2 linked regions of the Caenorhabditis elegans genome follow. The protein of the gene in region 1 purifies or fractionates together with the protein of each later gene. This does not show direct contact. Each region holds a gene or a part of one and is shown on either strand. Other genes may lie near its edges.

Region 1 (4,423 bases):
AGTAACCGCTCGGTTACTGTAGTTTTGCCGGCGTCAACGTGCGCAATAACTCCGATATTTCGGAGTTTTGACGGCGCCGGCGGTGGCGGTGGGGTACTGTAGCACCGCCGGCTCAGCAGCAGCAGCAGACGGAGCATATATGTGTGTGTAGGAATTGCGCTGAAAAATCGATAAATTTTGAATTTTTTCGAAAATTTGAATTTTTCCGTAGAAAAATGGGAAAAAATTGGAAATTATTGAAAATTTACAAATTTTTTCATTTTTTTTTTTGGCAAAAACTTTGTAAAATTTTTTAGATTTTCAGAGAAAAAATCGGATTTTCAAATTTTTTTGCGAAAAATTCGAAAAAATCAATTTTTTTGGGGGAAATTTGAATTTTTCAATGAAATTTTCAAAATTTTTCAGTTTCTGGAGGTTTTTGTCAAAAAAAATCAATTTTTCTGGAAAAAAATCGGTAAATTTTAAATTTTAATCGGATTTTTTCAAAAATTTGATTTTCTCAGTAGAAAAATTCGCGAAAACCGGAAATTTTTGGAAATCGAGTTTTTAAAAAAATTCTCCAAGTTTTAGCACTTTTTTTCAAAAAATTCAAAAAATACGGCAATTTTTCGAATTTTCAGGAAAAAAAATCCATTTTTGGCGGAAAATTTGAATTTTTTTTCAAAATTTTCAATTTTTTTTCGGACTCAAAAACATGAAAAATGGATGAGAACCTCTTTTTCGCAAAAAAAAAAAATTTTAAATAATTTTTTCCGCAAAAATTGAGTTCATTTTACATTTCAGAAGGGAGGAAATATGGATAAAATCCAAAATTTTCACAAAAAAAGGGGTAAAAAATGAGGAAAAGCGGCGGAAAATTGTGATGGAGAATAAATTAGGAAAAAAATCGCAAAAAATTGGGGAAAAATGCTCAAAAATGAGCATTTTTTACGGCGAAACTGGGGAAAAACGGGAGAAAATGGGAAAAATCGGAAATTTTTAGAGCAAAAAAAAAATGGGCGAAAAATCGGAAATTTAGGCGACTTGGTGTCCAGATTTGCGGAGTTCCTCCTTCAATTGCTTCGAAAATTCGCTTTCATGAGTCTCATCATCCCAATTATCCTCCCAAACGTTCACATCATCCTCTTCTCCTTCGGCACGCTCAGCCCATTCCTGCAAAATTTTTTTTTTAGAAAAATCGATTTTTTTTTGAATTTTTCAGAGAAAATTCAATTTTAAAAAATATTTTGTTTGAGGAAATTCTGAAAATTTTTATACTTTTTTTTTGGATTTTCAGCCATTTTTTTCGTAAAAATTGTAATTTTCCGATTTTTTGGCTAAAAATTTGGTCAAAATTCGAATTTGCCGAATTTTTCACCAAATAATTTGTCAAAATCCAAATTTTTCGATTTTTTGCCCAAAATTAAAAATTTCACATTTTTTGGAAAATTCGAATTTTTTTTTGAATAAAATTTGAAAACATTCCAGACTTTATGAAATGTTTGGTAATTTTTTTGTTGATATTTTGCAATTTTTCTTGACTTCCATTTTCTCTTGACAGCCATTTTTCCGCTAAAAATAGATAAAAATTCAAAATTTTGGACTTTTTTGGTCAGAAATTGGATTTTTTAGCCAAAATTCGAATTTTTTGAATTTCTCCGACAAAAAATGGATAAAATAGCGGATTTTTCAGTGAAAATTCGAGTTTTTAAGGAAAAATATCGATTTTTCTGAAATTTGCATCAAAATTCCAAATTTCGGTACTTTAATTTCGCCTAAAAACCTATTTTCCCGAATTTTTACAGGAAATTATCGATTTTTTGGAATTTTCAGACAAAAAATTAAAAAAAAATCGCTGAGTTTGTCAGAGAAAATAGGATTTTTTTTTTCGATTTTTTTTGAGGAAATTCTGAAAATTTTTATACTTTTTTTTTTGGATTTTCAGCCATTTTTTTTGGCCAAAAAATTTGATCAAAATTCAACTGTTCCGATTTTTCCGTCAAAAAATTGGTAAAAATTTAAATTTTCTAATTTTTTGACTAAAAAAATGGGCCAAATTCAAAATTTTTGGACAAAAAATTTGATAAAAATCAATTTTTTTACGATTTTTTGCCTTAAAAATTGGTAAAAATTCAATTTTTCCGATTACTCGGCCAAAAATTGGCCAAAATTCCAATTTTCTAATTTTTTGGACAAAAAATTGGTTAAAAGTCGATTATTCCGATTTTTTAGTTAAAAAATTGGCCAAATTTTGAATTTTCCGATTTTTCGGCAAAAAGTTCGCAAAAAATCAAAATTTCTGATTTTTTTTTGGCCGAAAATTTGCAAAATTTTCAAATTTACCGATTTTTTTTAAATAGCGTATTTTTCAGTGAAAAATTGATTTTTTTTTTTGGTTTTTAAGGGAAATTTCGAAATTTTTCTTATTTTTCCCAATTTTTTTTTCGATGTTTTGGCTAAAAATAGCCAAAAATTCCGATTTTTCGGCTTAAAATCCGTCAATTTTCACAATTTTTTCGCCATTTTCCTCTACCTGAACCGGAAATTCCTCAAATTCTTCCTCCTCGAATTCCTTCTTCTCAACGACAGCAGTGACTGGAACAGCCGAGCTTTTCACGTCTTTTTTGGCGGCGGTAGATGACATTTCGACTGGAAATAGGCTGAAAATAGGCTTAAAAGGCTGAAAAATCGGATAAAAAAGGTAGAAATGGCAAAAAACCGGTTAAAAATAGAAAAATGAACAAAAAATACAGTTTTTCTGAATAATTTTTGCGTTGAAACAAACAATTTGAAAATAAAAAAAATAAAAACAATAAAATAACAAAGAAAAATCCTATAAAACACCATTTTTGCAGGGAAAATCGTGAAAAATCCAAATTTTTAGGCAAAAAAAAAATGGATTTTTGAATAAAAAACTAAAATTTTACGTTAAGAATTGAAAATTTGAGTGAAAATTCAAATTTTTGAGCCAAAAATTGAATTTCTAGCTGAAAAATTGGCATTTCAATAGAAAATTCAAAATTTTAAACTAAATTTCCAGGTTTCTAGCTTGAAAATCAATTTTTGGAGCAAATTTGCCATTTTTAAAGCCGAAAATTTACATTTTAACGTCAAAACTCGAAAAATGCGCGTTTTTGACTTGAAAAATGCAAAATTTGCTCCAAAAATTGATTTTTAAGCTAGAAAACTGGAAATTTAGTTTTAAAATTCGAATTTTCCATTGAAATTCCAACTTTTCAGCTAGAAATCCAAATTTTAGCTCGAAAATTCGAAAATTTCGGCTAAAAATTCAGAATTTTTAATAAAATATTCGAAAATTGAATTTAAAGCCAAAAATAATCGAAATTTGAGGTCAAAAATTGCGAAATTTTCGGGATTTTCAATTTTCAAAAGGTGAAAAATTCAGTTTCACATAAAAATGGCCAGTTTTAAGTCAAAAACGCTCATTTTCAGTTTAAAAATACACATTTTTAACTGAAAATTACTAAATTTTAAGTCAAAAAATACTCAATTTTGGCTCAAAAATGCTCATTTTTAAGTCAAAAATTGAATTTTATATCGAAAATTGGCCATTTTTAGGTCAAAAATACTCAATTTTAGGCCAAAATTCTTATTTTTAGGACGAAAAAGCTCAATTTTGCCTCAAAAATGCTCATTTTTAGCTCCAAAATTGAATTTTACATCGAAAATTGGTCATTTTTAACCCAAAAATGCTCATTTTTAGCTCAAAAACTCCAAATTTTCACGATTTTCCCAACAAAAACAGTGTAAAAACTACTATAAATCTACAACGAAAAAAAACGACATGGTGCATCAAATCTCCTGCTGCTCCTTCTCCTTCTTCGCCTCCTCCAACTTCTCAGTAGTTCTCAACGGAAGAGCTTTTGCCTCAGCGTGCTGCTTTTCGACTTGCTCCGCGCTGAGCATCTGTGTACCGACCATTCCCTGTTTCGCGTCAATCCATTTCGGATAGATTTTACCGTGAAGCCTCCATTCTCCGTCGACTACGGCAATATGATTCTCAAAAACTACGTATTCGACGACATCTTTCTCCTCGTCCTCGGAGCCTGCAGATTTGGAGCATTTTTGGGTGGAAAAGCTTGGAAAATTCGGTGAAAATCAAAATTTTCCGCATTTTTTACCCAAAAATTCAAAAAATTTTGGATATTTTCGAATTTTCCGCGTTATTGAGCGAAGATTCCAAAATTTTTGCATTTTTGAGCAGTTTTGGGTGGAAAAGCTTGGAAAATTCGGTGAAAATCGGATTTTTCCGCATTTTTTACCCGAAAATTCTTAAATTTTGACTGGAAAATGCAAAATGTGCTCGAAAAATTGCTTTTTTTAGCTAGAAATCTGGAATTTCCGTCTAAAAGCATGATTTTTCCACGTCAAATCCAAAATTTCAGCTGAAAATTGAATTTTTCACTCAAATATTCGAAAATTT
Region 2 (4,628 bases), 7.3 Mb from region 1:
GAGAAAGAATTGCACATTGCATGGCAGCTCCACGAGCGACAGCCTCGTCTTGATTCATCGTGGTTTTCGGTTCCTTTCCGAAAAGATCCTTGACAATCTCTCTGATCATCGGAATTCTTGAAGATCCTCCGACAATTTCGATCTCGTCAATTTCTTCCGGCTTGATAGACACTCCGTCTGCGAACAAGTTAATGAGAACCTGCTTGATACGGTTGAAAATTGGAGCTGCAAGATCCTCAAATTCTTGACGTTGCATCTTTCCAGTAACATCCTTATCCTCCATAAAGCATTCAATGTTCAGTGGAATTGGAGTTTGATTTGCTGACATTTGCTTCTTCACACGCTCACATTCGTCCAAGAGACGTAGCCATGGACGAGGAGATGTTGCGGCATCAATTCCTGCAATAACTTCAATTATCAATTTACTTTCATTGGGCCTTACCGTATTTTGTCTTGAACTCTTTTCTGAAGTGCTCTCGAATAAGAGCATCGAACCAAATACCACCAGACTCCAAATCGTATGATGTGTTAACCATCTGAAGTTTTCCACGATTGAAAGCAACCAATGAAGCCTGTGTTGACGAATGACCGATATCAAGGAACACGACGTTGCGCGATTTGGCATCTTCCTCTGGGAGATCTTGCTTGTAGATTCCGTAGGCTAGAGCAATTGCAGTTGTTTCATTGACGATGCGAAGAGAGTTCAATCCGGCATATTGAATAGCTGAGAGAACAGCGCGTCGTTGAACATCAGTGAAGTAGGACGGGACCTAAAATTAAAACGATTGTCTAACAATTTCTCAAGTCTAAATTGTTCGATAAAATTATAGTTAAAATAAATTGATATTATTCAGAAATATTAAACAAACACTTACAGCAAGAACGCAATCTGAAACTTTCTTCACGTCAGAAAGTTGAGATTCCACAATAGTACGAAGCTTCGTGAGAAGGGCAGCAAGAACTTGTTCTGGGGTGAAAGTGTGAGGTTCGCCAAGATAACTGACTTGAACTCCGATGTCATCATTTGGAAGTTTAACCACTTTACACGGGATGAATGGAATGAATCTTTGCGCAACAGGATCACTGAATTTTCGTCCAATCAAATGCTTGAAGTTAATAACAGTGTTCTTGATGTTCGTGGTCACTGCTTGCCGAGCTGCAACCCCCATTGATCGATCTTTTGGTCCAAAAGATACGCAAGCTCTGGAGAAATAAATATTTAGATTTCATGTTATGAAATACTACACTTACGGAGTGGCATGCAGAGAATAGTCATTGGTGATAACTTCAATGCCTCCTTGACGTGCAACGCCAATGTAGCAGTTGAGGTTACCGATGTCGAATCCAAGAACCGACATTATTCTTTATAGCAGGAGCGCTGAAATTAAAGATAAAAGTTTAGACAGTTTAGACCAGCTAAAAACGGACAAAATGGGTTGAAGAAGCTTTGAAAGTATATTTATACAAAAACCAAATATTTTTCTAGAAATTTCGAGCAAATAAAAAAAAAGTGAGCAAGAAAACAAAGGTGAAACAGCGAAAAACGACCGAAAAGGGCGTGTCTCAGGCTGACTCCCTTATAATGGTGTTTAAAGGCACACCGAATATTCGAGAAACGTCTAGTACATCGTTGCGAGACCCATGTAAAATTCTCTACAGAGCAGACTTGCATTATTTTTTATTTTTCAAAATCATCATTTTTCAAACATCGTTTTTCATTTTATTAACGTTCTGTTGTGTTTGTTTTTATTTATTTATTTTATTTTACGTGAAAAAAAGCTCAAATTCTAGTGACACTCGTTTTATTTTCAAATTTTAAAGGGAAATGGCTCCGAAAACTGGAGAAACCGTCGTTGAAAAAATGGAGGTAGATGAAGCTAAGCAAGATGTCCCAGCCACCGAGCCAGCAAAAGATCTCAACGCAATTGCAGTTGAAAGTAAGTGAAATACAGAAATACTAAAGTTTTGATTGCCTTCTTTTCTAGATATCAAAGAACAATTAGCTGCTCTCGACAAAGGAGAAGAACATTTGATCACTCGCGTGTTGCAAGTATTGCCGAAAACTCGCAAGCAGATCAATGACAACGTTCTTTACAAACTCGTGTCTTCACATTTAAGCAGTGATGCTCAGTTCGCCGAAGGAATGTTGAAGTATTTGCATTACACACCCGCCGCTGATACTGAAGTTCAGCCAATGGATACTTCGAATGTCAAAACAAAGTCTCCAAAAAAAGGCGTCAAACCAGTGTTTGCATCTCCCGAATCAGATTGCTACTTGCGTCTTCTCGTTTTGCTTCATCTTTATGCTCAAAAAAAGAATACCGAAGCTCTTGCTCTCGGCGAGAATCAACTCACATCAAGTAAAAAACATATTTTAACCCAAACAAAACGTATAATTTTCAGTTTACAACTTTGATCGGCGTACACTGGATGGACTCGCAGCAAAAACCCTTTATTTCCTCTGTGTGATCTACGAACGAGAAGGACGTCTTTTCGATCACCAGGGATTCTTGAACTCTCGACTCCGTACTGCAACTCTCCGTAATTTCTCCGAGTCACAAGCCGTTCTGATTTGCTGGCTTCTTCGCTGCTACTTGATCAACCGTCAATATCAATCAGCTGCTCATCTTGTCTCCAAAGTTGCATTCCCAGACAATGCATCTAACAATGATCTTGCCCGCTACATGTACTATCAAGGACGTATAAAGGCTCTTCAACTCGATTACAATTCGGCGGCTGGATATTTCTTGCAAGCTCAGCGAAAAGCTCCACAAGAAGGTGCCATTGGCTTCAAACAAGCTGTTCAGAAGTGGGTTGTTGTCATTGGTCTTCTACAAGGAGAGATTCCTGATCGAAGTGTGTTCCGTCAACCAATTTATCGCAAATGTCTTGCTCACTACCTGGATCTCAGTCGAGGCGTTCGCGATGGAGATGTTGCTCGTTTTAATCATAATTTGGAGCAATTCAAAACACAGTTTGAAGCTGATGATACTCTCACATTGATTGTTCGTCTGCGTCAAAACGTCATCAAGACTGCAATCAAGCAAATTTCTTTGGCGTATTCCCGAATTTATATCAAGGATATTGCCAAGAAGTTGTATATTACTAACGAGACAGAGACTGAATACATTGTAAGTAATTTATATTGACAGTTTTATGTTTATTATAATTGTTGCAGGTGGCGAAGGCTATTGCCGATGGAGCAATCGATGCTGTTATCACTTCTGATGTTCGTGATGGACCTCGGTACATGCAAAGTTCAGAAACAGCTGATATTTATCGTACTTCGGAGCCACAAGCTCACTTCGATACTCGTATCCGTTACTGCCTCGAATTGCACAATCAAGCTGTCAAAGCTCTCAGATATCCACCAAAGAAGAAGATCGCTGTTGAAACTATTGAGCAAGCTCGTGAACGCGAGCAGCAAGAGTTGGAATTCGCCAAAGAGCTGGCTGACGAAGATGATGACGATTTTTAAACCGATCACTCACTTTTTTAATTTATTCTGAACAATGCATTGGAACGTGTCTGTCTCCGTAAATAATTTTGTGTGTATTTTATTTGAATTTTCTCGTCTCTTTTCAAATCGAGATCCCTGTCCACTTTTTTCCCACACCCGAATGAATTTTATAAGGATGAATTGCATATTTCACCAAGTCTTTTTAAAATATATTTTGTTTAAAATTGGTATTTTTCACCGATTTTATTTCTGAATTAAGTAGTGTTAAAAGAGAAAGATCGTCTAAAAAATAATCTTCAATTCTATCGTGATAGAAATCCATGAGTTTTCGAATAAATACTGTATTGCAACATCTAAATATACGATTCTATTAAATTTTACAAAAATAATGTAATTTGTCTAAACACTTGCTTTACGATGTCCGCAAACACTACCTGCACACGAACTGCGTCAGAAATTACGAGCACGATTTTCTTAATTCTTTTAGTTCAGAAACTTTCTTGAAATCATTTTAGTTATATTTATGTTTATTCAATATATTTTGTATTACCAAAAGTAAAAAAAGGAAACACTGAAAATCCCATTAATATTTAAACTCTATTTTTCTCTGAAACTAACTGGAATTCAATTTTGGAATTTATTAGTTTTAGTCAATTGCTCTCTGATATTTAATTTTTTTTTCATTTAAAAAACATAATTTATTTAACTACGAGATCGATTATAGCGCTGCTTTTCTTCCTCTTTGAAGTTTAAAATTATTTTCAGAATGAATGAGGCTCGAGCAAGGATCATAATAAACCTGCGGCTGTCGATGGACTCGCTGATGCGAGTTTTCAGTCACCGATCACCACCTCCTTCATTTGGATTTGCTTGCGATGTCGGTGCACATCCATCATCAACTGCACAAAACTTGCCAATGACATATGGAAGTGTTCGCGAAATGATTGACGATTTTAGTATTGTTTTTGGAGTTCCAAAGTATAGAACTAGCAAACGTACGTTTATATGTTATGTAAAAAAACTGATTTTCAAAATTTATTTTTTAGCAAAGAAAGTAACTCGCAAGTTCTCATTCACACGCCTTCTTCAACCGATTGATAATCTTGTGACATGTCCAGCGTGCTCGAATATTCATCCATCGGACACTATTTGTGATGCCTGCTACGCC

The links.
Region 2: the proteins of dss-1 (region 1) and rpn-3 purify together in Caenorhabditis elegans (affinity purification with western blotting, with the first as the bait; one study listed by BioGRID). This does not show direct contact.

What each region holds. Positions count from the first base shown.
Region 1 is NC_003281.10:1,193,654-1,198,076, forward strand, and holds dss-1 (putative 26S proteasome complex subunit dss-1), read right to left. Parts: upstream 2,640-4,423; 5' UTR 2,624-2,639; coding exon 2,513-2,623; intron 1,153-2,512; coding exon 1,015-1,152; 3' UTR 733-1,014; downstream 1-732. Other genes in the region: Y119D3B.14 (Tr-type G domain-containing protein), read right to left, coding at 1-137; mrpl-45 (Large ribosomal subunit protein mL45), read right to left, coding at 3,793-4,046. UniProt on the Caenorhabditis elegans protein: Subunit of the 26S proteasome which plays a role in ubiquitin-dependent proteolysis. Has an essential role in oogenesis and larval growth. Required for intestinal function and default lifespan.
Region 2 is NC_003281.10:8,445,532-8,450,159, forward strand, and holds rpn-3 (26S proteasome non-ATPase regulatory subunit 3), read left to right. Parts: upstream 1-1,821; 5' UTR 1,822-1,825; coding exon 1,826-1,937; intron 1,938-1,985; coding exon 1,986-2,360; intron 2,361-2,403; coding exon 2,404-3,131; intron 3,132-3,178; coding exon 3,179-3,478; 3' UTR 3,479-3,815; downstream 3,816-4,628. Other genes in the region: hsp-110 (Heat shock protein 110), read right to left, coding at 1-399, 443-770, 876-1,203, 1,252-1,358; mrpl-32 (Large ribosomal subunit protein bL32m), read left to right, coding at 4,227-4,455, 4,507-4,628. UniProt on the Caenorhabditis elegans protein: Acts as a regulatory subunit of the 26 proteasome which is involved in the ATP-dependent degradation of ubiquitinated proteins.